Notamacropus eugenii: one gene and its partners. The protein of the gene in region 4 interacts with the protein of the main gene of each other region in a pairwise test. Links are inferred from orthologs where the notes say so. Each region holds a gene or a part of one and is shown on either strand. Other genes may lie near its edges. The genes, in order: CRKL, KPRP, SHFL and TNS2.

Region 1 (7,716 bases), on a different chromosome or scaffold from region 4:
ACTGACTTCCCTGGCTTAAGACCCACCTCCTCCAGAAAACCTTCCCCACCCCTCAATTCTAATGCCTGCCTCTAACGGAATTCCTCTTCGTCCTGTCTATGATGTCCATGCTCCTTTGCTTGTCATCTCACCATTAGATTTTGAGCTCCTCAAGGGCAAGGACTGCCTTTTGCCTCTTTGTATCTCCAGGTTAGTAGCATGTGGTACAGAAAATGACAGTTAATAAATGTTTATTGACTGAAAGAGCCCTGAGGAGATTTACTTATCATTGGAGGTCACTCAGAAAATCAGCAGTGGAGCAGAACTCCCACACTCCTACTAGAACTCATCTAGTCCAAACTCGGTCTAGAACACCAGGTCTAGAGTCAGAGCAGAAGCTGTCCCTGTCCCCTCTCCAGGAGCTTCTACTTTGTCACCTGTTTGCCCAGAAGAAACATGAGTGGGTGCCCCTATCCCTGAACTGACCAGGGTTTGGGGGTCAATCCCCCCATTTCTTAGCTATGAGGATGGCAGGGTATCTTACTACCTCGGCCTGGATCTGCTCACCTGTGAGAGGGGGGGGGTCAAACCTCACACAAGAGCCATTGCTGCCCAAGGTCACCCCAGGGGCACCAAGTGTGGGAATGGAAGCCAGCTGGGGCATTGTGGGCTTGGGAGTCAGGGGACCTGGGTTCCAAAAGTGTCTCCAGTATGTGCTGAGCCAGCCCTTTACCTCCCCCATTTAATGATGGGATTTGGCCTCACCAACAAGGGTTGAATGGGCACTTTCTTCGGACCCTGCTCACTTAAGATCTAAATGAAAATTACAAGAGCGCAGACTCTCTCTCCTCTCTCTGTCTCCCTCCTCTCTCTCTCCCTTTCTCCCTCTCCTCTCCCTCTCTCCTCTCTTTCCTCTCTCTCCCTCTTTTCTCCCTCTTTCTCTCTCCCCTTCTCTTTCCCCCTCCTTCTCCCTCTCTCCCCCTTTCTCTCTCTCCTCTCTCTCCCTTTCTCTGTCTCCCTCCTCTCTCCCTCTTTTCTCCCTTTCTCCCCTTCTTTCTCTCCCCCTCTTTCTCCCTCTCTCCTCTCTCTCCCCCTCTTCCTCTCCCTCTCTCCCTCCTTTCTCCCTCTCTCCTCTCCCTCTCTCTCTCTCCTTCCTTTCTCCCTCTCTCCTCTCTCTCTCCCCCTCTCTCTCTCCCTCCCCCTTTCTCTCTCTCTCTTCCTCTCCCTTTCTCCCCCTCTGCTCTCTCTCTCTCTCCCCTTCTCTCCCCCTTTCTCCCTTTCTCTCCCTCTCTCCTCTCTCTCCCTGTCTCCTCTCCCTCTCTCCCTCCTTTCTCCCTTTCTCTCCCTCTCTCCTCTCTCTCCCTCTCTCGCTCTTTCTCCCTTTCTCTCCCTCTCTCCTCTCTCTCCCCCTCTCTCTCTCTCCCTCCCCCTTTCTCTCTCTCTCTTCCTCTCCCTTTCTCCCCCTCTGCTCTCTCTCTCTCTCTCCCCTTCTCTCCCCCTTTCTCCCTTTCTCTCCCTCTCTCCTCTCTCTCCCTCTCTCGCTCTTTCTCCCTTTCTCTCCCTCTCTCGCTCTTTCTCCCTTTCTCTCCCTCTCTCCTTTCTCCCTCTCTCTCTCCCCCTCTCCTCTCTCTCTCTCTCTCTCCCTCCCCCTTTCTCCCTCTCTCCTTTCTCCCTCTCTCTCTCCCTCTCTCCCCTTTCTCCCTCTCTCCTCTCTCTCCCTCTCTCGCTCTTTCTCCCTTTCTCTCCCTCTCTCCTCTCTCTCCCCCTCTCTCTCTCTCCCTCCCCCTTTCTCTCTCTCTCTTCCTCTCCCTTTCTCCCCCTCTGCTCTCTCTCTCTCTCTCCCCTTCTCTCCCCCTTTCTCCCTTTCTCTCCCTCTCTCCTCTCTCTCCCTCTCTCGCTCTTTCTCCCTTTCTCTCCCTCTCTCGCTCTTTCTCCCTTTCTCTCCCTCTCTCCTTTCTCCCTCTCTCTCTCCCCCTCTCCTCTCTCTCTCTCTCTCTCCCTCCCCCTTTCTCCCTCTCTCCTTTCTCCCTCTCTCTCTCCCTCTCTCCCCTTTCTCCCTCTCTCCTCTCTCTCCCTCTCTCGCTCTTTCTCCCTTTCTCTCCCTCTCTCCTCTCTCTCCCCCTCTCTCCTCTCCCTTTCTCTCCCTCTCTCCTTTCTCCCTCTCTCCTCTCTCTCTCTCTCTCTCTCCCCCTCTCGCTCTTTCTCCCTTTCTCTCCCTCTCTCCTTTCTCCCTTTCTCTCTCTCTCCCCCTCTCTCCTCTCCCTTTCTCTCCCTCTCTCCTCTCTCTCTCCCTCTCTCTCTCTCTCGGTCTCCCCCTCTTTCTCTCCTTTCTCCCTTTCTCTCTCTCTCCCCCTCTCTCCTCTCCCTTTCTCTCCCTCTCTCCTCTCTCTCTCCCTCTCTCTCTCTCTCGGTCTCCCCCTCTTTCTCTCCTTTCTCCCTCTCTCTCTCCCTCTCTCCTCTCTCTCCCTCTCTCGCTCTTTCTCCCTTTCTCTCCCTCTCTCCTCTCTCTCCCCCTCTCTCCTCTCCCTTTCTCTCCCTCTCTCCTTTCTCCCTTTCTCTCTCTCTCCCCCTCTCTCCTCTCCCTTTCTCTCCCTCTCTCCTCTCTCTCTCCCTCTCTCTCTCCCTCTCTCTCTCTCTCGGTCTCCCCCTCTTTCTCTCCTTTCTCCCTCTCTCTCTCCCCCTCCCCCCCGCCCCGCACCTGGGCGCGGGCTCCAGCAGCGTGGTCGTGTCCAGGTAGTGGATCTTGTAGAACTCGAGCAGCGCCGGCAGGTGCTCGAACTCCTGGTCCCCGATCTTGAAGCGCCGGTTGGGCAGCGAGTTGATGATGTAGTGGGACACGCGCGAGTTCTCGGACACGGACAGCACGTAGTCCCCGGGGCAGGTGGACGAGTCGCGCACCAGGAAGACGCCGTGCCGCTGGCCCTGCAGCCGGCTCTGCGCCTCCTGCCGCGACACCGGGCCCACGTACCAGGCCGAGCGGTCGGCCGAGTCGAAGCGCGCCGCCGCCATGGCCGCCGGGGGCCGCGCCGCCCCGGGCGGGGGCGCGCCGGCTACGGAAGCCCGCGGGCGAGCTCGGGCCGCCGCCGCTCCGCCGAGGGCCGCTCCCCGCGCCGCGCCCGCCGCCGCCGCCGCCCCGCGCCCTCACAGGCCCCGGCCCGCCCCGAGCCCGCGGCACCGCCGCCGCCGCGCCCGCACCATCGCGCGCCGGGGCCCGCGCCCCGCCGCCCCGCGCCGCCGCCGCCCCGCCGCCCGCCGGCCTCGCCGCTCCGCCGCAGCCCTGCTTCCCGAGAGCCCCAGCAACAAAATGGCGGGCGGCCGGCCACCTCCCCAGCCTCTTCGGGGGCGCCCTCTGCGCGTGCGCGGCGCCCGCCCCGCCCCTCGGGGCCCTCGCCGGTTGGCCGGCCCGGCCCGCGCGCGCCCAATGAGGATCGGCGCTCGCGCTGCCCCGGAGCTCGCGCCCATTCGCGGCGCCGCCCTCCCGCCTGTCCGCGTGAGCGCCGGAGCACGCCCGGCACGGGAGGGGGGAGCGGAAGGGGGAGAGGGGGAGGGGAAGGGGGAGGGGAGGAGGGGGAGGGGGGAGGGGCGGGGCGACGAGCGGAGGCCGCCGGGCGCTTCCTTCGGTTTCGAAAGGCCGAGCCGAGGTGGGGAAATCTCGCCTGGAGTCCGGGCGGGGGGAGGGGCGGGGGGCGGCCCGCCGGCTGGGCCGTAGTGATCCGTAACGACGCCCCTCCTACCTTCCAGCTCAGCCATATGTACTAGTAATGATCCGCACCCAAATCAAACCTCGGGCGGGGGGTCCCTGACCCACGCCCAGGCCCGGCGGCCGTATATACCAGTAACGATCCGCATCAATATCAGACCTAAGCTACATTTGTAATCAGTCCCAAAGACGCCCTCTCCTCAGCCGTATTCATTAGTGACGATCCGCACCAAGATTGACTCTCCGAGGTCCCTGGGCAGCAGCAACCCAACCTTGGGTGTCCCAAAGGCTCCCCTCGGGGTGTGGAGGCCGGGAAGGGCTCCTGCACCTCGGGTGGGTCCGCTTGTCACTTACCTGTCACCTGTGGCTCCCCCACGTGCTCCGGCCACACCCCGCAAAGCTAAGGGCGACCAGTGGGCTCCAGCCCCTTGGCTGAGTTAGGGGGTGTCTGCCCCCCCAGAATGGGCCGGGGAGAGTTCTGAAACAGAGCTTGGCTGTCCTCCGGACCCGTGTCCGGCGCCAGACTTGGGGCCACTGTGCTCCACCGAAGTCCAGTCCGGGCGCAAGTCGGGCCGCACCCCTATCTCCTTGGTCCCCCCAAAGCCAAGGCTGAACGCGTAGGTAGCGCTTAGTAGGGGCCAGGCCTCCCACCACACCTGGGAGGCAGTCCCCGTTTTACAGAGGAGAAAACTGAGGCTCCACCACCTAGGGAAGGCTCCTGATGCCAGGCTCTTTCCAGGGCCAGAGCCAGGACTCCCCTGCCAGCCCCTATACTGAGTGCCTCTGCCTCACCCCCATTCCCACCAGGGCATACCCCAGACCGGGCAACTTGAGCATCGCTGCCCATCCCCATCATCAAGGATGCTCCCCAAGAGAAGCCAGCCCTAGGCTGGGCAGAGCTGTCTTTAGCTTGACCCTTCCCAGTGGTTTGCCCCTTGTCTGCCCCATTAGACCCTGAACTGCTGGAGGGCAGGGACCCACATTATATGCCAGCACTTAGCATGGCACACAATAGGCCCTCAATCAATGCTAGAGGACAGATTCATCCACCACCACCATCCTTCCCCAAAGCTCCCTATGTGGTACTGACCTGTACAACCGCAGCCCAGGCCTTACCCTCTTCCCTTATGAATTCCTGCTTTTTCCCCTGAGGAATGGGGGGGATTCAGGGGGATCAAAAGTCCAGGTTCTGTTGACTGGCATTCCCCACCCCACCCTGGCCCCAGCCTTGTGAGGGAACTGGCTCTGGCAGCAGGTAAGCTGCTGGCTCCAACTCATTGCTGGTGCCTCTTCTTCCCTCCCCCAGATCCTCTGGGAGAGCCACACTTCCTGCCAGCCCCACTTCACGGGGATAAAGCAGCCCATGACTTGGGTTGAGATGTGGAGACTTCCATCAACAAGATGTTCTGTGGTCCAAGGCTCAAGCGGCAGGGGACCTGGAAGCTGGCGATTAGCCCAGGGGAGATTATTTGGCTACTGGGCAGAGGCAGAGATGAGAAGGGAGACGTTGAGGCCCATCTCTGCCCCTAGCTAAGTTCTGAACCTTATAGACTCAGCTTAAACTGCTTGAAACCCAGCAGTGAGGAGGCAGCCTAGATATTTATCCGCTCACTGCCCTCTGGTGGCTAATGGGAATATAGCAACCTCTTGGGAGACCTTTCCACAGAAGTGACTACTAGGTTAATGGTTCAAAAGAATTCCACCTGCTGGGAAATTCAGGTATGGTGCTCCCTCGGTGGATAACTAACACAGAGACATGTTGCCATCCAGTAGGTTTAAGGAAGCCAATACCAGTCAGTTTGGACTGCTTATACTGCGGTTACCCCGGTATCTCAGGTAGGACCCACAGAAAGGGAGGAGGGTCGATTTGTTACTACCGGTATGACTTTTGGACAAGCCACTCTCCTCCTCTGGGGCTCAGTGTTCGGAGGAGATGATCTCTAAGCCAGACACCAAGGTGCTACATGGATACCTATAGAACCAACCAATCCATCAACAAACATTGATTAGGTGCCCGCATCATGTGCCAAGTGCTGTGCTGAACTCTGGGGTACAAAGAAAATCGATAATCCCCACCCTCAAGGAGTGTGCATTCTAATGGGGGTGCCAACACAGAGTAGAAGAATGGTACCAGCACCTGGGGGGAGGAAAGGAAAGCAGGGATTCCAAGAGACCTAAGTTGGAAGGGAGAGCATTCCAGGCTAGGGATACTCTATGCAAAGGCATGGAGATAAAGATGATGCATTCTGTTTGAGAAACAGTAACTAGGCCAGGGTGGCTGGATCTTAGGGAGTATGTTGTGTAGGGCCTTAACTGCCAAACAAAGGATTTAATCCTGGAGGTAATAGGGAGCCACTGGAGAGTTTGGAGTGAGGGGTCTAATATAATCTGATCTATGCTCCACAAGGGAGTAATGGATGTATTGGATGGGGAGAGACTTGACTCAGAGGGATGAGTGGAAGGCTAGGGTGATAGTCCAGGTGAGAGGTAAAGAGGGCCTGTATCAGACTTGCTGTTTATGTAAGAGGAGAAATGGGGAGAGGTAGAGGAACAAAGTTTAGTGATGGACTAGATAGAGAGTGAAGAGATTTTGAAGTTGGGTGTCTAGAAGGGTGGTATTCTCCTGGAAATGCAAATGCCAACAACTCTGAGGAGCCATTTCACCTCCACCAGATACGCTAAAATGACAGATGCTGGAGAAGATATGAAGAAACAGGCTCCCAGTGTGTTGTTGGTGGAGTAGTGAACTAGCCCAACTATTCTGGAAAGGCTTCTTGAATGGCAGAAAGGTGAAAGGAGCAAGCATGTATTAAGTGCCTACTTTGTGTCTGGCAGTGTGCTAAGCATTTTACAAGTATCTCAAACCTCACAACTACTCCTGGAGGTAGGTGCTATTATGACCCCCATTTTACAGATGAGGAAACAGAGGCAGGCAGAGGTTAAGTGACTTGCCCAGAGTCACACAGCTAGGAAGTGTCTGCGTCAGGATTTGAACTCAGGTCTTCCTAGCCCTCCATCTGCCATGCTAGCTGGCTGCCTTCAGGAATTATCAATGGTAGAGGAACGGCCGAACAAGTTGTGGTGTATGAATGTAATGGAATACTATTTCCCATAAGAAATAATGAGCAGGCAGATTTCAGAAAAAACCTGGAAGAACTTATATGAACCGAAGCTGAGTGAAATGAGCAGAACCGAGAGAACACTCACCGTACACAGTACCAGCAACACAGTGAGACGGCCAATGATGACAGACTTAGTTCTTCTCAGTAATGCCATGATCTAAGATAACTCCAAGAGACTCATGATGGAAAATGCCGTCCACCTCCAGAGAAAGAACTGTGGAGTCTGAATGCAGATGGAAGCAGCCTATTTTCTCTTTTGTGTGTGTGTGTGTGTGTGTTTTTCTTTCTCTTGGTTTTTCCCTTTTGTTCTGATTCTTCTTTTACAACATGACTAACATGGAAATATATTTAATATGATTGTACCTGTATCTATATGCATATTTATATATATATATCTCAAATTGCTTGCCATCTTAGGGAGGGGGAAAGAGGAAGAAGGGAGAAAAATTTGGAACTCAAAATCTTATAAAAGGGAATGTTGAAAACTAAAAATTAATTATTTTTAAAAAGCTATCCAGAGGTCAAGGAGGAGGAGAAAAGGAGGGGGAAAAGCAATGACTGGAACCATTAGAAGATCACAGGTAAACATGGAGAGAACAGGTTCAATGGGACAGTGAGGTGGGAAGGCAGATGGAAAAGTGAGTGGGATGTGAGGATTATGGCAGCTCAGGCAGTTTGGCTGCAAATGGAAAGAAGGCCCAGACCAATGGCTTGAGGTGGTGGCACGGCCAAGGGCAAGGCTCGGGGGAGCTTTGGCAGTTTGTAGGCAGTGGGGGAGGTGCCAGCTGATAAAGAGAGATTGGACTATGAAAGGAAAAGATGACTGGAGGGGCAGGCCCTCAGAGGAAATTAACAAGCGCCTAATTGTTTACTATAAATTTTTATTGCTATCTTTCATTTTTATATCCCTAAAAT
Region 2 (7,508 bases), on a different chromosome or scaffold from region 4:
GTACAGTAAGTATAAGTAGGCTGAGATCTGCGGGGAGGGGAGCAGCTCCTATAGGTAGGCCGAGATACGCGTGGAGGAGTACAGTAAGTATAAGTAGGCTGAGATCTGCGTGGAGGGGAGCAACTCTGATAGGCGGGCCGAGACGTAGGTGGAAGGAGACATGGAGTGGAGCAGCTCCGATAGGCCGGCCGAGAAGTGCTAGGAGGGTTGCAGCTGACATAGGAAGGCAGAGGTCCACGTGAAGGAGAACAGCTATGATAAGAAGGCTGAGAGGTGCGGGCAGGTACACATCTACCATAGGATCCCTGATATTGATTTTGAGAGGAACAGCCATTGTAAGATCCTTGGTATTGGCTCTGAAGTGCACCACCGCCATAACACTGAGACTGACGTTGAGAGGTATAGCTGGTATGATACCCCTGAGACTGGCAGTGAGGGGCACTGCTGCTATAATATCCCTGAGTCTGACATTGAGGGTAGTATTCTACATAAGACTGAACTGGCTGCGAGGCTGCCACTGGCACATAGGTCTCAAGAGGGCATTGCACATAGTAAGTTTCAGTACAACAAACTGGAGAGCATTGCACATAGGAGGTCTGAACAGGATATGCAACTTGGCATTCTACATAGGTTTCCTGGGCCTGGCATGGGGCCTGGCACTGCACATAGCATATCTGGGACTGACTTGGGGCTTGACCATTCCCTGCACATACATTAGACTGGCCTAGGACCTGGCCTTTTGTAGATGAAGTTTGAGATTGGCTTACAACTTGACCCTTTGCAGAGCAAGTTTGAAAAGTTCGTACTTCACCTGAGACCTGGCCTTTTATGGGGACAAAGGATGGAGAAGGAGTAAAAGAAGATCCTTTAACGCAGCACTCTGGAGGTGGTAGGCAGGGCTGCTTCTGCTGCTGGTCACACATGATTCTGACTGCAGATGATAGGGTTCTGTGGGCAGAGAGAGTAGAGGTTAGTCTGGGAGGTTGGGGGAGGAAAAAGAATCCCAGAGTCAGAGATAAAATTCAGAGCAGGAAGGGACTTGAGGTTTCAAACCTTGGATCTTACTAATGATGAAACTAAGGACCAGGGAGGTTAAGCCATGGCTTGTATAGATCATTGGGCTACCAAAGAGCAGGGGGGAATTTGAACATCAGTTTCCTGGATCCAAATCCAGTGCCCTTGTCACCATATTATAGCTCCTGGGGGATGGTTGGAGGCAGGAACATACATAAATCCACATAGACGCTTACCCTCTCCCACAACTGCTCCTAGAAAGACCCAAAGCCAAATGTCATTCACTGGGCAGCATATATGCCTCTTACACCATGAACATGTTTTCAGAAGTCAGTTTAAAATTATTTTTTTAACTATTGGCCATTGTACACAACACTTTGGGCTGTCCCAATCTGGAGCACTTTGGAATTTAAATTGTCTGTGGAATGATTCGCCTCCATGAAAGTGAATAATGAAGAGATGAAGTCACACACAGAGGTATGCAGACACGTACAAACTATGTTGACATGCCGCCAAAACTACCAGATGAAAAGTGGAGAATATAGTCAGAGTTATTTGGCACCATACACACAATAGTGAGTTACCACCCAAGCAAAACATTTGTATTGTGGAGGATTTGTTTTTAAACAAATCTTTTTATTTGTCAGAGAAAATTTTCATTTAATTCAGATGTGCAAAAGGGAATTGCTTTGGAGTCAGAGCAGCTGAGTTCAAATTCTGAATCTTCCATTTAGTAGATGTGGACCTTGGGCAAGTCAGTTCACCTCTAGGTCTTGGCTTCAACGTCTATAAAATGGGAAGGGTTGAGACGATCTCTAAGGTCCCTTCTAGCTCAAGCTGAATAATCCTCCCCATACACCAACTTTGCCAATAACCCTTTCCCTGCCTCCTGCTCGCAAGAAATCCTAGTTTGCACCAGGATAGAAGGAAAGGTTGGCTGACCTTAGAACTGTTTGTTTGTTTTGTTTTTTGCCTTGGACCACTCATGGGATGAAGCTGAAAACATTAAAAACAAGCAAGGACTGGAAGCTTGGGGCCCTGATATGTAAGCCAGACATATATCCATTATTAGGTTTCTCCTTGGCCTTATAAATATGATGGATATACTTCTACACAAGCAAGCATTCCAGATCTAAGTCCATGTAGACCCCACCCCAGCCTACTCTAACCTACCCTACTTCAAAACATCTCACAAAAACAAATGCAAAGGCAGAAAAGGCAATCATCTATTTTAGAGACTCTGGGAAAACCTCTTCTACTTAACAATCTGCCAAATTCTCCCATCTTTCCCCTAATTTCTGAAACTCTTTTGCCAAGGGGCCCAAGTCCTTCCTGAAAAAAATGGCATTCTCCCAGAGAATGATGGCACTCTGGTCAATTTACCTCAATGCTCCAAGGAGGACCTTTTTCATGAGTACAGATGTATCCTCCACCCAGGCAGAGAGCAACCCCTCTACCACTAGGTAGAGATTTTCTAGTAGCCATTGTGGTCAATAACTATTGTCCCATGGTCCAGTCTAGTGATGAGTCTCTCCAAACTTAATACACCCACTTTCAAACAAGAGACAGTCTGTCACAAGGCAGTTTGCTTACAGCTGTCCCAATTTGATAGCACTCCCAATATAAATCAAATCAATCAATCCATCACTGCTTTGCCAAAGACCACCTTGATTTTTCACACAGAGCAGAGATGCTTCCACACATATGCACACCTTCCATCATGCTCCTCTGCACTGTCCTCTTCTCCCCAAGCCCCAACAGATACTCTTCTTGGTCCTCTTCCTTTCTTTTTCCATCCTCATGGCTCCCAACAGTTTCTCTGCTCTGACTCCTTGTCACCTATATCTACCTCTCTGGCCCCCCCAACCCTTGTCCAGTCTCAGAGACTTACCTTCCTTGATGCTATTGTGATCACACTGGCTGAGGAGCCTGGGCCTGGGAGCTGATTTATAGAGTTGCAGCCTCTGACTTGAACTATGAGACAATTTATTGGCATCTGCTCTCACAAGGCGGCAACTGAAGTCCTGGTGACAAGGACCGACATTCCATTGCCTGGTTCCCTCCCTGTGTGTACATGGGTGTGTCTGAGCTCAGTGCTGAGACTTCTGGAATAGGAAGACACTATCCTTCTTAATCGTACATGAGTTTCCTCCATTCCTAGAAGTCCTAGGAGGTTACAAACTGGTTGGGGATTACAAAGTTCTCCCATTCTCCATGTTCTTCCACTCCCCACACACAAACACATATAATTCCAGAAGTCACATTCTCTCTCCTATGGGATTTAACAGATGGCTGAGTGCCTACTATGTGCAAGGCTAGTGTGCTAGATGTTGTGTCTAAGCCCTTCAACTCCAGTTCTGTAATTGATTGCTTATTCTAGAATGAATTCCCTAAATTATTCCAAATTTGATCGATGATTCCACTTGAGCGTGATCTCCTTGGAAACTTTTTATCTTATTTTATTTTATCTATGTATTTATTTTTATTTACTATATTTATAGTATTTTATGTATTTTATTGGCTTTCTTTGTATCCTTAGGGCTTAGCATAGTGCCTGGCCCATAGTAGGTGCCTAATGAATGTTAGTTGGCCGACACACTTGATGCTTGCTTAGACATGAGCAGTAGGCCACATCCAGGTCTGTGCATATTACTTTGGTTTGAGTGGGCCATGTGTGGCAGATAGAATGTCCAAGGAGAAGTCCTTAGGCTTTGAACCAGTGACATAATCCTTCATATTTACATTAGCATATAAAAAGTACTCATGGAGAAAGTCCAGCACTTTTTCAGACTTAGCAAATATTCCACTCCATGGGGACTACATTCACTATTATCTGTGTGTCATCTCTGGGGAGGGAAGAAAAAGGAGATAAAAGACTAACAATTCCATAGGATTCATGATGAGAAATGCCATTCATATACAGTGAAAGAACTGATAGAGTCTGAATGCAGATCAAAGGATACTATATTTACTTTGTTGTTTTCTTGGTTTTTTTCCTTTTGGCCTGTTTCTTCTTTCACAACATGATTAATATGGAAATATGTTTTACATGATTGCACATATATAACCTATATCAAATTGCTTATGCTTGTAGGGAGAGGAGAGTGAAGGAAGGAGGGAGAAAATTCAGAACTCAATTATTTTTAGATGAATACTAAGAATTGTCTTTACATGCAAGAAAAACAAACACCATTTTTAAAAAGACTGTCTTAGTGCTCAGATGAACCAGAACCAGAGCTATAAGTACCAACAAGTTTTCTGATCCTGTGTTTGTAAGCTGAGTAAACTGTGGTGAACAAAGGGCTGGACTTGGAAAAGACTTGAGTTTGAATCCTACCTTAGACAATTTAGTAGCTGTATGATCCTAGGCAAACCATTTCATTTTTCTTATCCTGTTAGTTTGTCTGTAAAATGAGAATAATAATAACTCCTACCTCACGGGGTTGTTATAAGGATCAAATGCAATAACATTTGTACAGTGCTTTTCAAACCTTAAAGTGTTATACAAATTTTAGCTATTTATTATAATTAGCTTGCCTACTCAGACCCAAGGTCAGCTGTTTACATCCCCCTAATACCTGAGGTTAGAGGTGAGGTACTGTAGCTGTCTACCATGTTATGATGTCCAGTATCACGTGTGGTGCATCCGATGGGGTGTAAAGGAAAAAGATATGAGAAGCTACTTCTAGGACTACACTGTCCCATCACAATGAGAATCATTAAATTTCAATGACTAGGGAGAAAATATGGGTTTCATTCTAGGTGCTGAGTCCTTGGAGAATAAGGTGATGGAATACAGGAGTAGACGAAGTCCAGGGACTAAGGAACATTTCTGGTTATTGGAACTTCAGTAGGGAAAAAAGAAGGGGGAAGGGATGGAAGAGGCAGAAGTTACCTTCAGAGGAACAATGGGAGAAGCATCTCTAACACCATTTCATTGATATTCATAGGAAAATAGTCCTGAATTTTCTGAAACCAATCCCAAACCTTGAAACAGAGGATTCTTCTTTCTCTAACATGAGATCATAGAAACTGGAAATGAGGGGCTTAAAGAGTTGAGATTAAGGTGAAACATTTTCAAAATAAGGAGAAAAATGACTTTCTTTTTCTCTTTGGAATGCTTGGTATGCTACATTCTTTTTATGCAGGCTCCAGACCTTTCTCCAAGGACTTTCTTTATTCTAAGGGGGTTGGAAACTAAATAATTCTTTTAAATCCATTGTTTTGTGATCTTTAACTAAGGTCTAGTTCTTCTTAAATGATAGTCTCTCACATACATATGTATGTATGCATATGAATATATACCTATGAAATATAATAGGTGTCATTTTCTGACTGATATCATTATGTATACATATATCTATATCCATCTGTCTATCAATCTGCCCATCAATCTGTGTGCATGTATGTATGTATATATGTATGAATATATACATATATATGCATAGAATACCATATATTAGAGAAGAAAATGGAAAACAACTCCAGTATCTTTGCAAAAAAAACTCCAAATGGGGTCACAGAGAGTCAGACATGATTGAAACAACTGAACAACAAAAATATATCATAAAGATATGTAGAGAAAGAAAGATGAAAATGGAGTAAAGTTACATCTGAGTAGAGATAAAAATAGTAATAGCTCAGCTCTGACACTCCCTACCTGTGCACCTATAGATAAATCATTGAATCCTTTCAGAATTTATTGATAAAATAAAAGGGTTGGACTATCAATGGTGTCGAACTCAAATAGAAAGGGATCAAAGCCCCACTTAGAAAACTAAAAATTTGCATTATCTATGTTGTATTATATTTTGTTTATTTTGTTTAACATTTCCCATTACATTTTAATTTATTTGGGGTCACATTGAAGATGGCTGTGAGTTTGACACCTCTGAACTGGATCATCTCTAAGATCTCTTCCTCCTATGAGTGTTCTACATCTTGTGACCCTCAGTAGAGAAAGCTGTGCGAAGCTAGATGTATAAAGATAACGAATATGTATATGTAGATAAACATGGAGCTAAAGAAACAGAGATAGAGATCATGAAGACAAATGTAGAAGTTTAGACTGACATATTTAGAGATGAGAGAGATTTTCTATAGAGAGAGTGGATACACTTTAATTTCGCTCAATTCAACAAACATTTTAGAGAGGCAACATGGAAGATAGATAGCATACTATATTTGGAGACAGAAAGACCTGGGCTCAAATTCTGTCCCTTACACATACTAGCTGTTTGACCATGGGCAAGTCACCATAACTCTGAGCCTCAGGCAAATTCCTAAGATTTTTCTAATGTATACCTCCTCCCCACACACATACACACATGTGTGTATACATATACATATATTATCTATTATTTATAATACTGGTCTGTATCAAAGTTTGCATACCAAGAAAATCACAAATTCCCTTACCAACAAAATGACAAACAATCACTGGAATAGCTATACTCAGATGGAAATATTTAGATATATGATGATATAATACATAGAAAACACATAAGAGATCGAAAGCAAAAGGAGATGAAGAAGAATCTGTGTATGGTTCAATGACCAACAGCAATCCCAGAGGACTGATGTTGGAAGTGTGCTATCCACCTTCTATGTACTCGGTGCAGAAAGAGACATATGTATTTTGAACTTGGCCAGTGAGGGAATTTGTTTTGTTTGATTACACATTTTTGTTATAAGGGTTTTGTTTTATTTTTTCTTTTCCCAATGGGGTTTGGATAGGAAGGAGATAAAAATAGATTTTTGGTTTTTTAATTTTTTTAAAGAAAGTTATATATATTTACATGATAGATATGCAATATGAGAAATATGTTGTTGACATAGTTTTAAAGACAAAGAGATGTCTAGTAAAGGAAATAGAAAGGAAGGTAGAATTATATAGAAACGGAACACTATATATAGGGATCCCTAGAGACAGAAAGATAAAAATACACAGAGGTTGTGATCTATAGATAAATATAGAATGCTAGAATTATGCTAGAATGCTAGAAAATTATACAGAAAAAGAGAGTACCAGAGAGAGACAGAGGAAGAGAGAGACAAAGAGAGAGAGGGGAGAGTGCGAGTGAAAAACAAAAACAGAGAGGCAGAACGAAAAGAGAAAAAAGAAGAGAAATAAAGAGAGATAAACAGAGAAGAGCCAGAAAGATAGAAACAGAAAAAAACAGAGGCAGAGAGGGAAAAGAGACAGAGACAGACAAAGAAAAATGGTATTCTATATTTAGAACCTGCCCCAGTCCATTGCAAGTCCCACTTCCTTAATGATACCCCTGAGTACTTTGGCTCCCTGAGATGTCCTTTGCTCTTGACTTTCCATCAGTGTCAACAGTCTGCAAAGTCTGGATTCAAAACCAGGCCACACAGCTTTTCTTGTTTTCTTGGTTTCCTGTATATTAAACTTGTTTTCTTAGACTTCAAAGTCTCAAATCAGAGATCTTGTGCAATGATAATAATAATGATGGCAACAGGAACATTTATTT
Region 3 (6,991 bases), on a different chromosome or scaffold from region 4:
GCTGAAGATACTTAAGCAGAGGAGTAACATGACAGCAATGTGGAGGAAAAGAGATGACATTGAGAGATTTTGTGGAGGTGGATTGGACAAGACTTAGCCATTGACTGGATATGGGGTATGACGGAAAGGGAAGAGTCAAGGATGTTATAAACCAGAATGATGGGGAGGATAATGGGGCTCTCAACAGAAAAGAAAGAGTTTGGAGTAAGAAGTTTAGAGATAAAGGGGCTAGATGAATCCATTTTGGACAAATTGAATTGGAGATACCTATGGGATATCCAGGAGGAGCTATGCAACTGGCAGCTGATGATATATGACTGAAGCTCTGGAGCAAGACAAGGGTTATATATGTAGATGTAAGTCATCTGCATAAATAGAACACTTGATTTCAATGGGAAATGATGAGATTTCCAAGAGAAAGAGTGTATGCTCAGAAGAGAAGAGCGTTTGCTACAGAGCCTGGGGAATACCCTTGGGTAGGGGGAAGAACATATATGATAATCCAGCAAAGAAGTCTGAAGAAGAATAGTCAAACATAGAAGGGGAACCAAGAGAGAGTAGTGTCTCAACATCCCAGAGGATAGTGTCAGATGCTTCCGGGAGATCAAGGAGAATGAGGACAGAGAAAAGGCCATTGGACTTGGCAAATGATCCAAGAGGCAAGCCCTAAAGGAGTCAGGAGAAGACGAGATGGAGAGCATAGGTAGAGGGTTTGGCCTTGGCAAGGGGAAGGACCACTTTGTACTCAGAGATGGAAGCACAGATGGGCAAAATAAAGAAGAAAAGTAACCTTGTAACAAATGGCCTCTATTTTCAACATAAAGTAGTAGACAAGGACATCTGTTGAGAAAGAATGAGATAGCAATGGAGGGACTTTTCTGAAATGAAAATTTATTGTTACGTATTTTAAATCCTCTCATGTTTTACTAGGCACAAGACATGCTTTTTTTGCTCTTTGTATTTAAGTTCCAATATTTGAGTTTATGATATGTTTTTGTTTCTTTTCTCGATTCTGTATTTGTGTTCTGGCATTTGAGTCCAAAATTAAAAAAAAAAATAGAGTAAGTAAAGGTCCATAAAGCACATTTGTCTGCCCAAGGGAATAATCAGTACTTTCTGTACCTTCTAGGGGGCATAACCAGAATAGCTACTTGGAGTCCAGTGTCTATGTAGGTGACCAGATGGCATTCCAAGCTTGAATGATTCCATTTCACTCCCATCACACAGGTGGAGAAACTCCTAGATTCTAATCTTCAGTCATTTGCTCACTACCAAACTCTTAGTCCACACATACCTCATCCCCACTCCTAGCTTATCTTTCCAAAGCTTTCTATACTGGGATATAAATAATTAGAAGAATTCAGAAATTGCTCAAATGACTAGCCCCCATTCTCACTAGATTTCAGTCAGTTTACCAGTGTGACCTGTAAAAATGAGTCACTCACATAGAGATTAAAAAATATTTCCTGAATTAAAGTAAAAATGAAAGATCCAGTATTCAAACCCCATCATTCTTGAGTAAATCACAACCTCTTGGTAAGCCCTTAAGTCATTAAAAGTGACAGATGGGAGAATAGCTAAGCAAATTGTATATATGAATACAATGGAATATTATTAGTATGTCATAAAAAGTGAAAAAAAGTCAGAGAAGTATGAGAAAGACATAATAACTGATGCAGAGTGAAGTAAGCAAACCAGGAAAACTGCCACATTAGAAATAAAAGGAATTTTTTAAAAATATTATGTAAAGCAGTGCTGAGACACTGTCTCTTCCTCACTTTTTTGCAGAGGCAGAGGTCTATGGATGTCAAATTTTTCCATAGATTGATGTGTAGATAAGTTTTGCTGAACTGTGTTTTTTTCTTTTTTATTCTTTGTTAAAAGAAATAACTGACTACATAGAGGAGGAAAGGATAAATTCAGAAATAAAGGTGATATAAAAACAAATGATACTGTGTGAGGAATTTTTCTGGTAGACTTAGCCCTTCACAGCAATGCAAGGACCTAAAAAGTTCCCAATGGACCCTTGAGGCAAAATGCCTTCCATATACAAAGAAAGAACTATGGAATTGGATCTCAGAATGAAGTAAACTATTTTCTCTTGTGTTCTGTTTTGGTCTGGTTTGGTTTTTCTCATGGTTTCTCCCATTCATTTTAATTCTTCCATGAATCATGACCAAAGTGAAAATGTATTTAGTAAGAATGTATGTGTAGAACCCGTATAAGATTGCACTCAGTCTCAGGGGGGGAGGGAGAGGAAGAAAATCTAAGACTTATGGAAGTGACTGTAGAAAACTGAAAGCAAATAAATTAATTTTAAAAATTAAATAAAACAAATTATATAAAAATTGAAAATAAGAAGAAAAATTGCTGTGAGTACTGAGGCAGAACTGACCTGGCTAAGGATTTGATGGTGAATACCTCAATCATACTTTTTCTCTCTATAACTATCCATGACCCAGGTATCTTCTGACCCCTGCATTAATCATCATGTAAGATAAGGAACTAGTTATAGGCCTGGCTACTGTGGACTCTCTCCTCCCCTTTTTACTTCTTGCTTGGGGTTGTAATCAAGTCAACATTAACTTTGGACTTTGAAGGGCATAATAATCTACTGCCCTATTAATCAACTCAGAATCCTTGTGATTCTAAGTGACAGGCAGCCTAGGTAGAAGTTTCCTTCCAGGACCACCACTCTCTAATCTCTCACAGCTATTCATGTCAGCTCTATGCCTTCCATGTCTCTACCCCCACATTACCCATCCTAACCTCTGCAATCCCTCCAGTAAAGAAAGAGCTACATCTATGAAGGGCTTCATGAGCATTCAGCAAAGGGACAAAACGACGCCCACTGACCAGGAGCTGCTTACTCCTTTGCCATGTGTGTTCTCTGTTTCCTTCCCTTAATATTTTGAGTTTGAGCACACACACTTTGTGCCACCAAGGCGAGAATGTGCTCCTACTTTAGATAATTGTTGTTTTTTTCCTTAACTATCCTAGCTATACCTGCACAGTAAATGAATGCCCTTTCTAAAAGCCAATTAAGTAGGACTGATAATCAGGGGAAATATGCTGGTGGGGGTAATAGAAAAACCTAGACTTTTACCCCTAGAGTCCTAAGAAAAGTAGCTGTCAACTATCCTCTGGGGATCAGCCAATTCAAGTGGGAACTGGGAAAGTAAGTAAGGAGGGAGTGCTATACATATATTTTATATTTCATTTTCTCTGCACATGTCATTGTGTCTGAAAAAACTATAACCTCCTTAAAGACAGGGTCTGTTTTCTTGTCGTTGTATCTCCAACCCTCAGCACAGTGCCTGGTATATAGCAGATAAGAAAATGCTTGTGCTGGCAAATTGAATGCTTTTTAGAGAGGCAATTGATAAACTGAAGAAGAAGATGATCAAAGTTGGGGAGAGGGGGGAAGGAGGCAATCATGGTAATTAGAGCAGAAAGTGACCTTGGAGAGAAAAGTCTAGAGTCCATGTTATATGAGGATTGGTCAATGGAACTGGAGATGTTTAGTCTGAAGAGGACAAGATTTAAGGATGGTACATGTAGATAGCTTTCTTCAAATATCCCAAAGGATCATACATATGGAAAATGTTCTGTTTTGTCCCAAGAAACAGAACTCAGAGCACTCAGGGTGAAAGTTACTGAGAAGCAACTTGGGGAAAAAACTTCTTAGTAATTGAGGCCATCTAGGGTCGATGACCTTTCCAAAGAGGAGTCTTGTAGTCAGATACAGGTTGGACTAGAAGATCCAGGGAGTCCTTCCAGTTTAAGGCTTCGGACCTTTTTGGCCAGGGGCTTTTCCTCTGGCTTGGGATAAGATTCAGGATATTCAGTTCACGGTCAGTTTCCCAGTCCCACACCCCGCCCTCAATTCAGGGACCCCCATCTGTCCCACTGAGGTTTAATCCCCCTCAAATTTGGGGGCTGAGCAGGTCTAGAAAGACTCTAAACCTAGCCTCAGGCTCTGACAATCCTCACCCCTCTGAGGCCCCGCCCTTTTCTGAGAAACTGAAAGTGGGAGGAAAAGCGGGGCGGGGGTGTGGGTGCTGTTTGTTCTGGGCAGACAAAAGCAGTGGAAAGGGCTGAGAAACCCCAGTTCCCCGTTTACTGGAGCTCCATAAGGTGAGACCCTCGGGAGCTGCCGGAGCCGCGGGATCAAGGATGGCGGGAGCCGGGTCCTCCGGCGTGAAGGTGAGAGGACAGGGGCCAGGAGCCAGGATGCGCTGCGCGGGGAGCCCAACCCTGTCTCCCCTAACTCTAGGCTTGGCCTGACGGGGAGCAGAAACCAATGGAGACCAAGTCTGCCTGGGACCGGGACCGGGACCGGGACCGGGAGGGGACCCCATCCCACCCCCCGACTCCTCCCTGATCCCGTTCCTGGAGTCGGGGAGGTAGGGATCGGGCAGGTACAGGCTGGAGAGCCAGTCCTGCTGCCTCAGGGCTTCTCACCTGCCTTGCACTTTGGGCCCTCTGGCACAGGCACCTTGGCCTTTTCCAAGAAACGCTGTCCGGTCAAGGGCCAAGGGCCTGACCCACAGATTTCCCTACCTCTGCAGGCTTTTTTCCTCCCCCAACCAACAACAATGGAAGGGAGAGGGGATGAAAGGAAGGAAATTGGGCCCAAGATGCATGCGACCTCTCCCCCTCAGACCCTGACAAAGACCTGGCCTGTGTGCCCATTTCGTAGGTTAGTCAATTGATACCCAGAAGGAATGGAATTTACTGTCTTAGCAGTACTACTGTCCAATACTGTCTAATGCAAGCCTTCAGGTTTCTCAAGGGTTTCAGCAATGGTACCGATGATTTTCCTGTGTCTCCCTCCCCTATCTCAACCTCTTAACAGCTGGAGAAGAGTGTCCGTCGCCTTAGGGAGAAGTTTCATGGCCATGTGCCCGTAAAGAAGGCAAATGTTCTAATGGAGAGATACAGCCACAACCATGAGCTGGTCTCTTCCTGGCTAGTTAAACACATAACAGGTCAGCAGGAAACGCTGGGGGGAGGGGGAGGCAGAGAATATAGAGGAAGCCCTGGAGGGCTTATTGAGGGGCCTGTTGGGTACTAGGGGCCCCTACAGGTACTGGGAGGGGATCATGGAAGGGGTGTCCCAAGGAGTTCATGTCCAGAATGTTCAGTGGAACCAGAAACCACTGGGGGATAGGTGACTGTTTAAAGGTCCTTGGTCCTAGTATATCCTGTGACAGCCCCTATGCTCTCCAAACTTGTTCTCTGAAGAGTTCAGATCAGAAAATGAAGATGTACACCAAGCAGATCCAACTGTCCAGGTAATTTCCTTCCCCTACATTCCCCATAGCTGTAAAGAGATCCAACAGTCCCCAACTCTAATGAGCAAATCCAGGAAGAGATAGAGGGCACATGACCCAGGTTCCTGGGCTCAGGATTACAGGAAGAGACAACTCTGGGAGACTCTTTTCCAGTTCCTCATCTTCTCCTCTCCCCAAGACACCCACAATCTCTTTTGCCCAGTCCTAGATACACTTTTCTCTTTTCCAAACCCCCCCTCCATGTAGGATCCAGGCTGACCCAGGAGATAATAACACTGGAGGGATTAGAGGGGGTGGATCTTGAGGAGGGGTCTGAGCTGTGAGCTGAGGCCTTCTCCCTGGCCAGTCCTTAGTCCTTGCTTCAAAGTTTACTTCTTTGCCAAGTGACGAGCTCCAGGAGTAAGGGTACAGGGGCACCTGGACACCTGACAGATCAATGCAGACCCCAGCTCAGACTCCTGTCTCTATCTCCCCACTCTCTGCCCAGGATCGACAAAATGACTTGAAGGACAGAGACATTGAGGTGAGAGGGGAGCAGGGGTGAGAATGAGAACATCCATTGGATCCATGTTGGAGGCTGAGGTGCCCTGATCCTATCCCCAACTTCCCACTCAGGAGGTGGCTACCACCATGAGCTTACCCCTGACAGAGAAAAATCTGCGAATGTTGAATGATGCCCAGAAGGGCCATATCCCTAAGGAAGACTGCCAGTTTGCCTGCGGTTCCTGTGATCACATGTGGTGGCGCCGGGTGCCTGAGCGCAAAAAGGTGAAGGGGTCAGGACCAGGACTGAGGCTGGGCCCCATGGAGTCCCTGGTAACAGACCTCACCCTCCTCACACTGAGCTTTTCAGGTGTCCCGGTGCCGGAAGTGCAGGGTGAAATATGATCCGGTGCCCAAAGACAAGATGTGGGGTAAAGCTGAGTTCCACTGTTTACAGTGTGGCCATACCTTCACGTGAGTTCTCAGATCCCTGTCCCCTGACCCTTGTTTCCGGTTCTCATAAAGGTCAGTGCCACAGAAAGGTCAGAGTTCGAGAATCAGGGTTAGTATCCTAGCTTCTAGCTTGGACAAGGCATTTTCCCCACTTTGGGCCCCAATTCCCCTATTTGTAAAAAGAGAAGTCTAGCTGCAGATGATCTCCAAGGGTTCTTTAAATCTCCCATCCTAATCCCCTGTTTCTCTTTCATTCTTACTTTCTCAGTCCCCAACCCTTGATCTCTGACTCACACTTCCTCTTTGGCCTACTACCTGCCCCAACCATTTTTGCTTTCTCCTCAGGGGTTTTGCCCAGATGGGAACTCCATCTGCATGCTACCACTGCGGCAACCTTGTCCTACCAAATCAAATTCTCCCTCCACGCCGATCCCAGAGTGAGACACCCAGAAAACACAAACATTCCTGCTCTGCTGAGGACTGCGTTAACCGACAAGGTTAAACCCCAGGTCCTTCTATCCCTTTGTTCCCCTTGTCCCACTTCTCCCTGACCCCAGTAGAGCTGACACCTACCCCCCTTTAGCCTGCTCCCCTGGGGCCAGTCTCTGACTGAACACAGAAATGTCTCAGGACAGAGAAGGCTCAGATCCTATATCTGCCCCTCCAGGATCCTCCATACCAGGGACCACCTGTGTGCACCCCAAGAGTCGTAGACAGAAAAATATGCCTATTGTCTTGTGGCCAAGTGCTGTCCATGA
Region 4 (7,156 bases):
TAGGTCAGCATCTGCCCAAGTCCTCCTTGACTGCCTCCGTCCTACCTCAGATTCTCCCAGTCCCTGCCCCCTTTCCCTTGAAATTCCTCACCCCATCCCTTCCACCATAGCTGTCCCCAAACTTTATGTGGGCGAGGTATTGAATTTGTGTACAGAATGCTATAGACTGGAAAAGACCTTAGGGTCTGTTTAGTTTACTAAACTGTAAACACCAAGGAGGCCGATACCTTGACTTATCTAAACTGTCTCCTCCAGCAGTTAACAGTGTTCTTGTCTCAGTAGACGCTTAGTAAATCTTTGCTGAATTAAACTGAATTATCGAAGTATCTATTCTATTCTAACTCCCTCGTTTTACAGATGAGGAAAGTCTAGAAAGGGGGAAAGGGTTTGCTTGCCCCATGTGAACCCCTTGTTTCCCCGTTGGACTGGCCCGTCCTTCAGGATCCTGGTCCTGAGCTCTATTTCTTTCTTACCCATGCCACTCCTGACTAGCTCTCCCCCTCTGTTCCTGAGTAGACCACTAGGATATTAACCTCAGGGGGTTAGGGAACCTCTACAAAAAATTGCGCTCCTTCATATTTACTTCCTAACTGAATTGAGAGAGGGGGTTGAGTGCTGCTGCTAAATCGAATCAGTGCCCTAACGCCTCTTACTTCAGGGAGCATCTGCTCAGCTACCGATGGCCCTTCCAGACAGGATGTCGGGCAGAAACAGGGAATTTAGACTAAGGACTGAACATCCAAGGAGGCTAGTTTCTCAGCCCTGAAATTTGAAAGGGCAGGCGCTGGATTTTGGCCCCCCCCTCCCCCCACCTCCACCACTAAGTCTGGCCAGGTTTCAGGACATTCCAGACATTGTATCAATGTGGGAAGTAGGACCCTGGCATGATATTGTATCCTAGGGAGAGACTGGCACCAAGAAGCCTGAGTGGCAGGTGATTTTTTTTCTTTCTAGCTCCTCTCCTCTTCCCTTAGTTGAATCTCTCCTTTTCCCTTGGTCAGCCCCTAAAACCTTGGACTGTACCTGTGGGGCCCTCCCCTGTTTGTCTTTAACTTCCCTTCTGGAATGCCATCCTCCTGTTAAGGGGTCTTACTTTCACCTCCCTGGCACTGGCTCATGGCAGCCTGTAGCTAAAACCTTCCAATATCCCTCCCCTTGAATCTCTGTAGGTCTGGCAACACTAACTCTTCTTCTACCTTAACCATCTATGCTGACGGTTAGAAATGGAGGGAGAAAATTCTTCTGGGTCAGGCCTCAGTTTCCTCCTTGTTTTCTGGGCTGGTAGGGGCGTGAAAAGAGAGGCCCTACATTATAGAAGTGATTGGAGATCATCAAGGTACCCTGATTAGCATCTGCAGAGGAAAAGACGAGTGGGGCAGGAAGGAGAGAAATCTCATTTCCCTGCCATATTGTATGGTGTGGGCACCTAAGGGTTAAGGTAGGAAGAAGTTGGAATATTAGCCCCCCAGCCGGTATGCAGCTCAGTTCTCAGCTGGACTTCTGCTCTCCCACTGCTCCCCCCCCCCCCCAACCATCCTTGCTGGCCACATTCCAGTGTCTGCCTGCCTCCTCCCTCCCCTGCCTTGGCCCCCTCATATGCTGGGCCAGGAAGTCTTTGGTTTGTTTGGAGAAGCCCCCTCCACCCCTTACTCCCCCCTCCTGGAAATAGCTGTGGTTGGATACAGAGGCTGGAAGCCCAGGCCTGGCTAGAGGGGAGGGGGAAAGGGTGAAAGGTCCAAGGAAAGAGGGAAGGAATCAGGTCTTAATTAGGATGGGGGGGGATCTTGAGTGGGAGCAGAAGAGAAACCAGATAACCGGGGATGGGGAATAAATGAGGGGACTGGGGGAACTGGCGGGGTTTGGGGAGCTGTGCCAGAAGAAGGCTGGGGATGTGTAATTTCAGTCCTGCCTCAGTTTCCACAAACACGAAGGGGAGGGGGAAGGAAGCCCTACCCACCCTCCAGGACGTGTCTACGTCTCGGGCCCAGGGTAACTTTCCTCCCGCCGGACTGCCGGTGCCGCCGGGTGTGTCCGCGGGGCATACTTGCCTCCAGGTAGCACTTAGGGGCTGCCAGTCTGGGGAGGGCCGCTACCTCAGTGCACTGAAGGGTGCGGCTTGGCAGCGCGAAGGTGCGCTGGTGGGTGGGCGTACCTGTGCCCGGAGGGGGTGTGTGCGTGTGCCAGTGGTGCGTACGTGAGTCCGAGGGCCCGCAAGCCCTGCCTCCTAAGGCCGGAGGTGGCACCAACTTTCCGAGCTGTGGGCTGCTATAGGTGGGGGCGGATGGGGGCTGCCCCCCCGGCCGGGCTCCAAAGCGGGGTCCCCCTCCCCCCAGCCCCCTCCGAGGGGCTCGCCCAGGGCACCGCCCTCCTCCCCTCCCCTCCTCCGGCTCGGCCCGCGGCCGGCCGTGACGCAGCCACCGCCCACTCACCTTGGGGGGCCGTCCTGCGGGGCGGGAGCGCGGGGGGCAGCAGCAGGGGGAGCCCCCAGCCCAGCCCATGCCGCCGGCGGGGCGGAGAGCGGGGGGCGGAGGGAGGAGGGGCCCGCCACCGCAGCACCCCCCCGGCCGGGCGCCTCCAGTGCAGCTCCGCTGGCCCCCCGGCTGCCCGGTCCCCGCTCGCTGCGATGCCCGGCCCGGCTGGGCTGGGCTGGGCTGCCCTCCTTCGCTCCCTCTTCCCTCCCTCCCTCCTTCCCTCCCTTGCTCCCTCCTTCCCTCGCTCCGGCTCCAATCCCACTTCTCGCCCCGCTCCCCGCCCCCTAGTCCTCTCTTCTCCCCACCTTCTCCCGAAGACTGAGCGAGACCCAGGCAGGAGAGGAGAGGGACGGGGAGAGCCCCGAGACCCTGCCGGGGCCCCTCTGGGGAGCAGGAGAGTGGGGGCTCCCTGGGCTGGCGCCAAGGGCGGGGGCGTGGGGGACCACGGCCATCGGATCCGGGGGTCCCTCTGGTCACCCCCTTCCCCCGGCCCACCCGAGGACGCTCCCAGGCCCCGTCGGTGCTCTTGGGCCTGGGGTCAGGCCTGGACGGCCTCTGGCTTCCTGTTTCCCAGCAGTGGGACACACACTTCTCCTCCCTCTTTCCCAGCCGGGGCTGGCACACACCCAGAGCCGATAAACAGGACGGATCAGCAGCCCTCCTGTCCTAGTTAGTGACGTCCGGCCTGGGGCTGTGACCCCTCCAGCTTAACATACCCTGGGCACTTAGCGTCAGTGCCCAGTCTGTGCTGAAAACTGTGCTAGGCCCTAGGGGAGATTCGACATTTTAAAATACCTGCTCCCTGCCCACAGGGAGCTTGTGCCTAAGAGGTGGGCAAAGTATCTTGACTTTATGGAGAGGTCTACATTTGAGTTGGCCCTTAAAGAATGGGTAGGTGCCAATAAACATATCCCTGCAAGGGAGTCAAAAGACAGAATATACCAAAATATTCACAGCAGTACTGCTTGGAGGAGCAAATAACTGGAAACATATAGGGTCCCACAGACTGAGGAATGACTGGTAAAAAGATGGATGGACAAAGATGACAGGAGAGGGAAATTACAAATGTGGAGGGCCCTGGGACAGCAGAGACGCTAGGAATATGGACTGGCACAGCTATTCTGGAAAGCAGTATGGAACTATGTCCCCAAGTTACTACATCATAAATATACCCCATATCTCACAGTGGTACTAATACTAGGTCTATGATTCCCAAAGAGAGATGAGGACCTATACATTCAAAAATATCGACAGCTGCTCTTTTGTGTGCGAGACCCAAAGTGGACATTAAGAGGATGTCATCCTGTCCGGGGCTTGGCTAGACAAATTGTGACATATGAATGTAATGGAACATTACTGCGCCATAAGAAATGACCAAAAGGGCAGCTTCAGAGGAAATTGGAGAGACTTGTATGAACCCATGCAGTCAAGTGAGCAAAACCAGAGAAATTTGTACAAGAACAGCGACACAGAAAAAAGGAAAACTCTGAAAGGCTTTAGCAATCTAATCAATGCAGTGATGGACCATAAATCCAAACAAGTGAAGAGGAAACACGGCATCTCCTGAGAGAGAGGTGATGAACTCAAAGAAAAATATAGTTCTGGACATGACCATTCAATGGGAACATTTGTTTCGCTGGATTAGGCATCTAAGTATGAGGGACTTGATTTTTTTTTTTCTGGGATGGACAGATTAAATAAAAGATTTTTAAAAAAATTATATGAATGTAATGGAATCATATTATGCTGTAAGAAATGACAAATAAAATGTAGGTCCTAAATTGACACTGACTTCAGTGGCTTCAATTATTACTTCCAGATGACAGACCCTGAGTTTGCCATTTGAACTTTATCACAACTTGGTCCTATCTGACCTTTCCAGTTTTCTTACCCTTGATTCTACATTAAGGAATAAGCATAAAGTGCTAACCAGAGCTGAACTACTTACATTCTAATATAGGAAGATGCCACTATGTGTTTCCTCATAACCCTATTATCATCAGGGGACCATTGAGGGAGTATCATTAAACAAGGCCTGAGAGTGGTTCTTAAAGAGAAGAATGGAAAGAAATGAGATTGGGAGGAGATGATGGGGAAGGGAAAGGAAGGTTAGGGAAAATTAACATAATCAGATTGTGCAAATAGGCACCTATCCAAACAAGAAGGAAGGAGTGGAGGAAGTGACTGACACTTGAACCTTACAGTCATCTGCACTGGTCAAAGGTGAGAAGCGCGCGCGCGCGCACGCACACACACACACACACACACACACACACACACACACACACACACACACACACAGTTGAGTACAGAAATACATTTCACCCAATAGATAAAGGAAGGAAAGAGAAGGGAAAGGGAGGAATTATAGGGAGGGTACATTAAGGGACGGATTAGTCCTAAGCAAAACAAACTCTAAGGATGCATCAAAAAACTATGGTTCTTTTTGCAGTGGCAAAGAATGGGAATCCAAAGGGGTCCCCTAAATTGGGGAATGGAAGAACAAGTGATGGTATATAAATATAATAGGATATTATTGTGCTAGAAGAAATGATGAAGGGAATAGTTTCAGAGAAACTTGGGAAGACTTGTATGAACAGATGCAGAGAAGCAGGAGATTTTATACAATGAAAACAATCCAGCAAAGCCAAACTCTGGAAGATTTAGGTTAGGAACTCTGATCACTTTCATGACCAATCGTTATTCTAGAGGATTAATGATGAAACATTTAACCACTTCCTGATAGAAAGGTGAAGGATTCAGAGTGCAAGACGAGATACATATATTTTCAGGATAAGGAAAAGAAATCTGATTTGCTTGACTATACACACTGGTAACAAGAGTTTTGGTTTTTTTTCATTAAGCAGGGTAGGGGGAAGTATTGGGTTGGGAGGGAGAAAAGGTGGATTTTTGCTGATTGTAAAAAATTAATTTTAAAATGAAATTGAACTTGGAGTAATGCAAAAACTAATGAAGGAGAATAAGGGGGGCTTTTAGAACAGAATATTCTATAAGTTGTCAGTCTCTGTATCAGACCTTTTCCCTTATTTACTTTAGTCATAAGGGAGAGCTTGATATGTATCTAGTGGTTGGGAAAAGATTGGTGGTAAAGGCAGGGCAAAAAGCATTAATAATTTATACATATACATATATGTATATACACACACACATACACATATTTGCACGTATATTCCTATTTGCATATATACATATTCAAATACAGGATGGGTAGGAATTCAACAAGAGGATAAACTAGGTTAGAGACAGAAGAAGGAGAAAGCACCTAGCCTAGGGAATGGTTCAGTTCAGTTGAGGAGAGTACATGAGAGAAGGTGGGAAGGTGGTGCTAGATGGTGGAGAGCCTCGAATGCCAGGCACTGAAGTGTCTTTAAGGTTGACGTGAGCTTGTACCAGCTTTAACTGGCCCTCGATTTTTCTCAGTATTCAGTGTGAACATTTATACCTCAGAAATCAGCAAATGCTATAAACCGGGACTTGTTTCATCGATTTATTATTTTGTTGGCTGTCTAGATTTAAGAAACTGAGAAAATTTTAAGGCAGATTAAACTTAATAGTATGTCTGATGTATTCCCCCCATCCCCAAGTTAAACATTTACCAGCATACCACTGCTTTTAAGTCAAGTCAAATCTTGTTGCTGAAATGAATTGAGTTGTTGCAACTGAGATGAGGAACCAGGAAGAGATCCATCTTTTCCTCTCCTTGGCCAGGATGTTCCCACTCTTCCCTTAGTTTCTCCTCTCATTAGGGAGAATTTATTAAAAGGGCCCAGGGAAGGGACATGCTAAGGAAGAGAACCCAGAGAGGTCATTTCATCTAACTGTCTCTGAACAGGACCATATCCTACCCCATCCCAATCACTGGAGAATCCTATTTTTAAAGACTCCTTCCTAACCTTTGCCCTTTCCTTCCCCCATTCCAAAAAGAGACTCAAATCTCTCACATTCAAGAACTTCTTCATGACTAACTTAATAATCCCTCTTACTTAAGTTTAAACTGTTTGCTAATGATAGTCAACAAACAATTATTAAGCACTTACTATATATACCAGACTGTGCTGCACTTGGGATACAAAGAAAGACAAAAACAGTCCCAGTCCTCCAGGAGCTAATGGGAGACAATATGTAACTAACCAGGTACAAGGCCAGTTGGGTGGTACAGTGGCTAGAGCACCCACCCTGGAGTCAGGAGGACCTGAATTCAAATCTGACCTCAGACACTTACTAGGTGTATGACCTTGGTCAAGTCACTTAATCTGATTGCCTCCAAAAAAACAAACAAAAACAAGTAATTAGGTACACATAAATCATATACAGTGTAAAACTGAAAGATAATCTCAGAGGAAAGGAAGGCTTCAGTAACTGCGGGTGGGGACCCAGGAAGGTTTCCTGCAGAAGATGGGATTTGAATTGAATATTGCAGGACACCAGGGAAGCCAGGAGGTGAGGGAGTGGGAGAGTGGGGTGGGGCATGGGGAGAGGGGAGCCATTTTAGGCAGACAACCCAAAGGCACAGGGTTGTGTGCAAGCAAGGCCAATGTGGCTGGATCCTCACGTAAGTGGAGGTGGAAGGGATCAAGAGAGCATGCTAGGCCTGGGTGGAGAGAGAGGGGAAGATGAGTTGGGTTTTTTGTGGAGAACAGCAAAAACTGGAGTGTGGGGAGTGA

What was found.
Region 1: the proteins of TNS2 (region 4) and CRKL interact in a two-hybrid assay, tested with the Homo sapiens proteins (2 studies listed by BioGRID and IntAct). The link is inferred for Notamacropus eugenii from reciprocal best matches to the Homo sapiens genes TNS2 and CRKL.
Region 2: the proteins of TNS2 (region 4) and KPRP interact in binary tests that used the Homo sapiens proteins (3 or more experiments, as listed by UniProt). The two-hybrid records come from large-scale screens. The link is inferred for Notamacropus eugenii from reciprocal best matches to the Homo sapiens genes TNS2 and KPRP.
Region 3: the proteins of TNS2 (region 4) and SHFL interact in binary tests that used the Homo sapiens proteins (3 or more experiments, as listed by UniProt). The link is inferred for Notamacropus eugenii from reciprocal best matches to the Homo sapiens genes TNS2 and SHFL.

The regions. Positions count from the first base shown.
Region 1 is NC_092875.1:9,005,790-9,013,505, reverse strand, and holds the start of CRKL (crk-like protein), read right to left. Parts: upstream 3,010-7,716; 5' UTR 2,989-3,009; coding exon 2,678-2,988; intron 1-2,677. UniProt on the Homo sapiens protein: May mediate the transduction of intracellular signals.
Region 2 is NC_092873.1:376,461,041-376,468,548, reverse strand, and holds the start of KPRP (keratinocyte proline-rich protein), read right to left. Parts: upstream 3,017-7,508; 5' UTR 2,906-3,016; intron 2,898-2,905; exon of another isoform or gene 2,727-2,897; intron 949-2,726; 5' UTR 924-948; coding exon 1-923.
Region 3 is NC_092875.1:80,060,814-80,067,804, reverse strand, and holds the start of SHFL (shiftless antiviral inhibitor of ribosomal frameshifting protein), read left to right. Parts: upstream 1-3,991; 5' UTR 3,992-4,176; coding exon 4,177-4,206; intron 4,207-4,570; exon of another isoform or gene 4,571-4,702; intron 4,703-4,858; coding exon 4,859-4,991; intron 4,992-5,247; coding exon 5,248-5,297; intron 5,298-5,784; coding exon 5,785-5,820; intron 5,821-5,912; coding exon 5,913-6,065; intron 6,066-6,150; coding exon 6,151-6,254; intron 6,255-6,578; coding exon 6,579-6,730; intron 6,731-6,900; coding exon 6,901-6,991.
Region 4 is NC_092874.1:225,881,463-225,888,618, reverse strand, and holds the start of TNS2 (tensin-2), read right to left. Parts: upstream 3,011-7,156; 5' UTR 2,924-3,010; coding exon 2,777-2,923; intron 2,638-2,776; exon of another isoform or gene 2,499-2,637; coding exon of another isoform or gene 2,430-2,498; intron 1-2,429. UniProt on the Homo sapiens protein: Tyrosine-protein phosphatase which regulates cell motility, proliferation and muscle-response to insulin. Phosphatase activity is mediated by binding to phosphatidylinositol-3,4,5-triphosphate (PtdIns(3,4,5)P3) via the SH2 domain.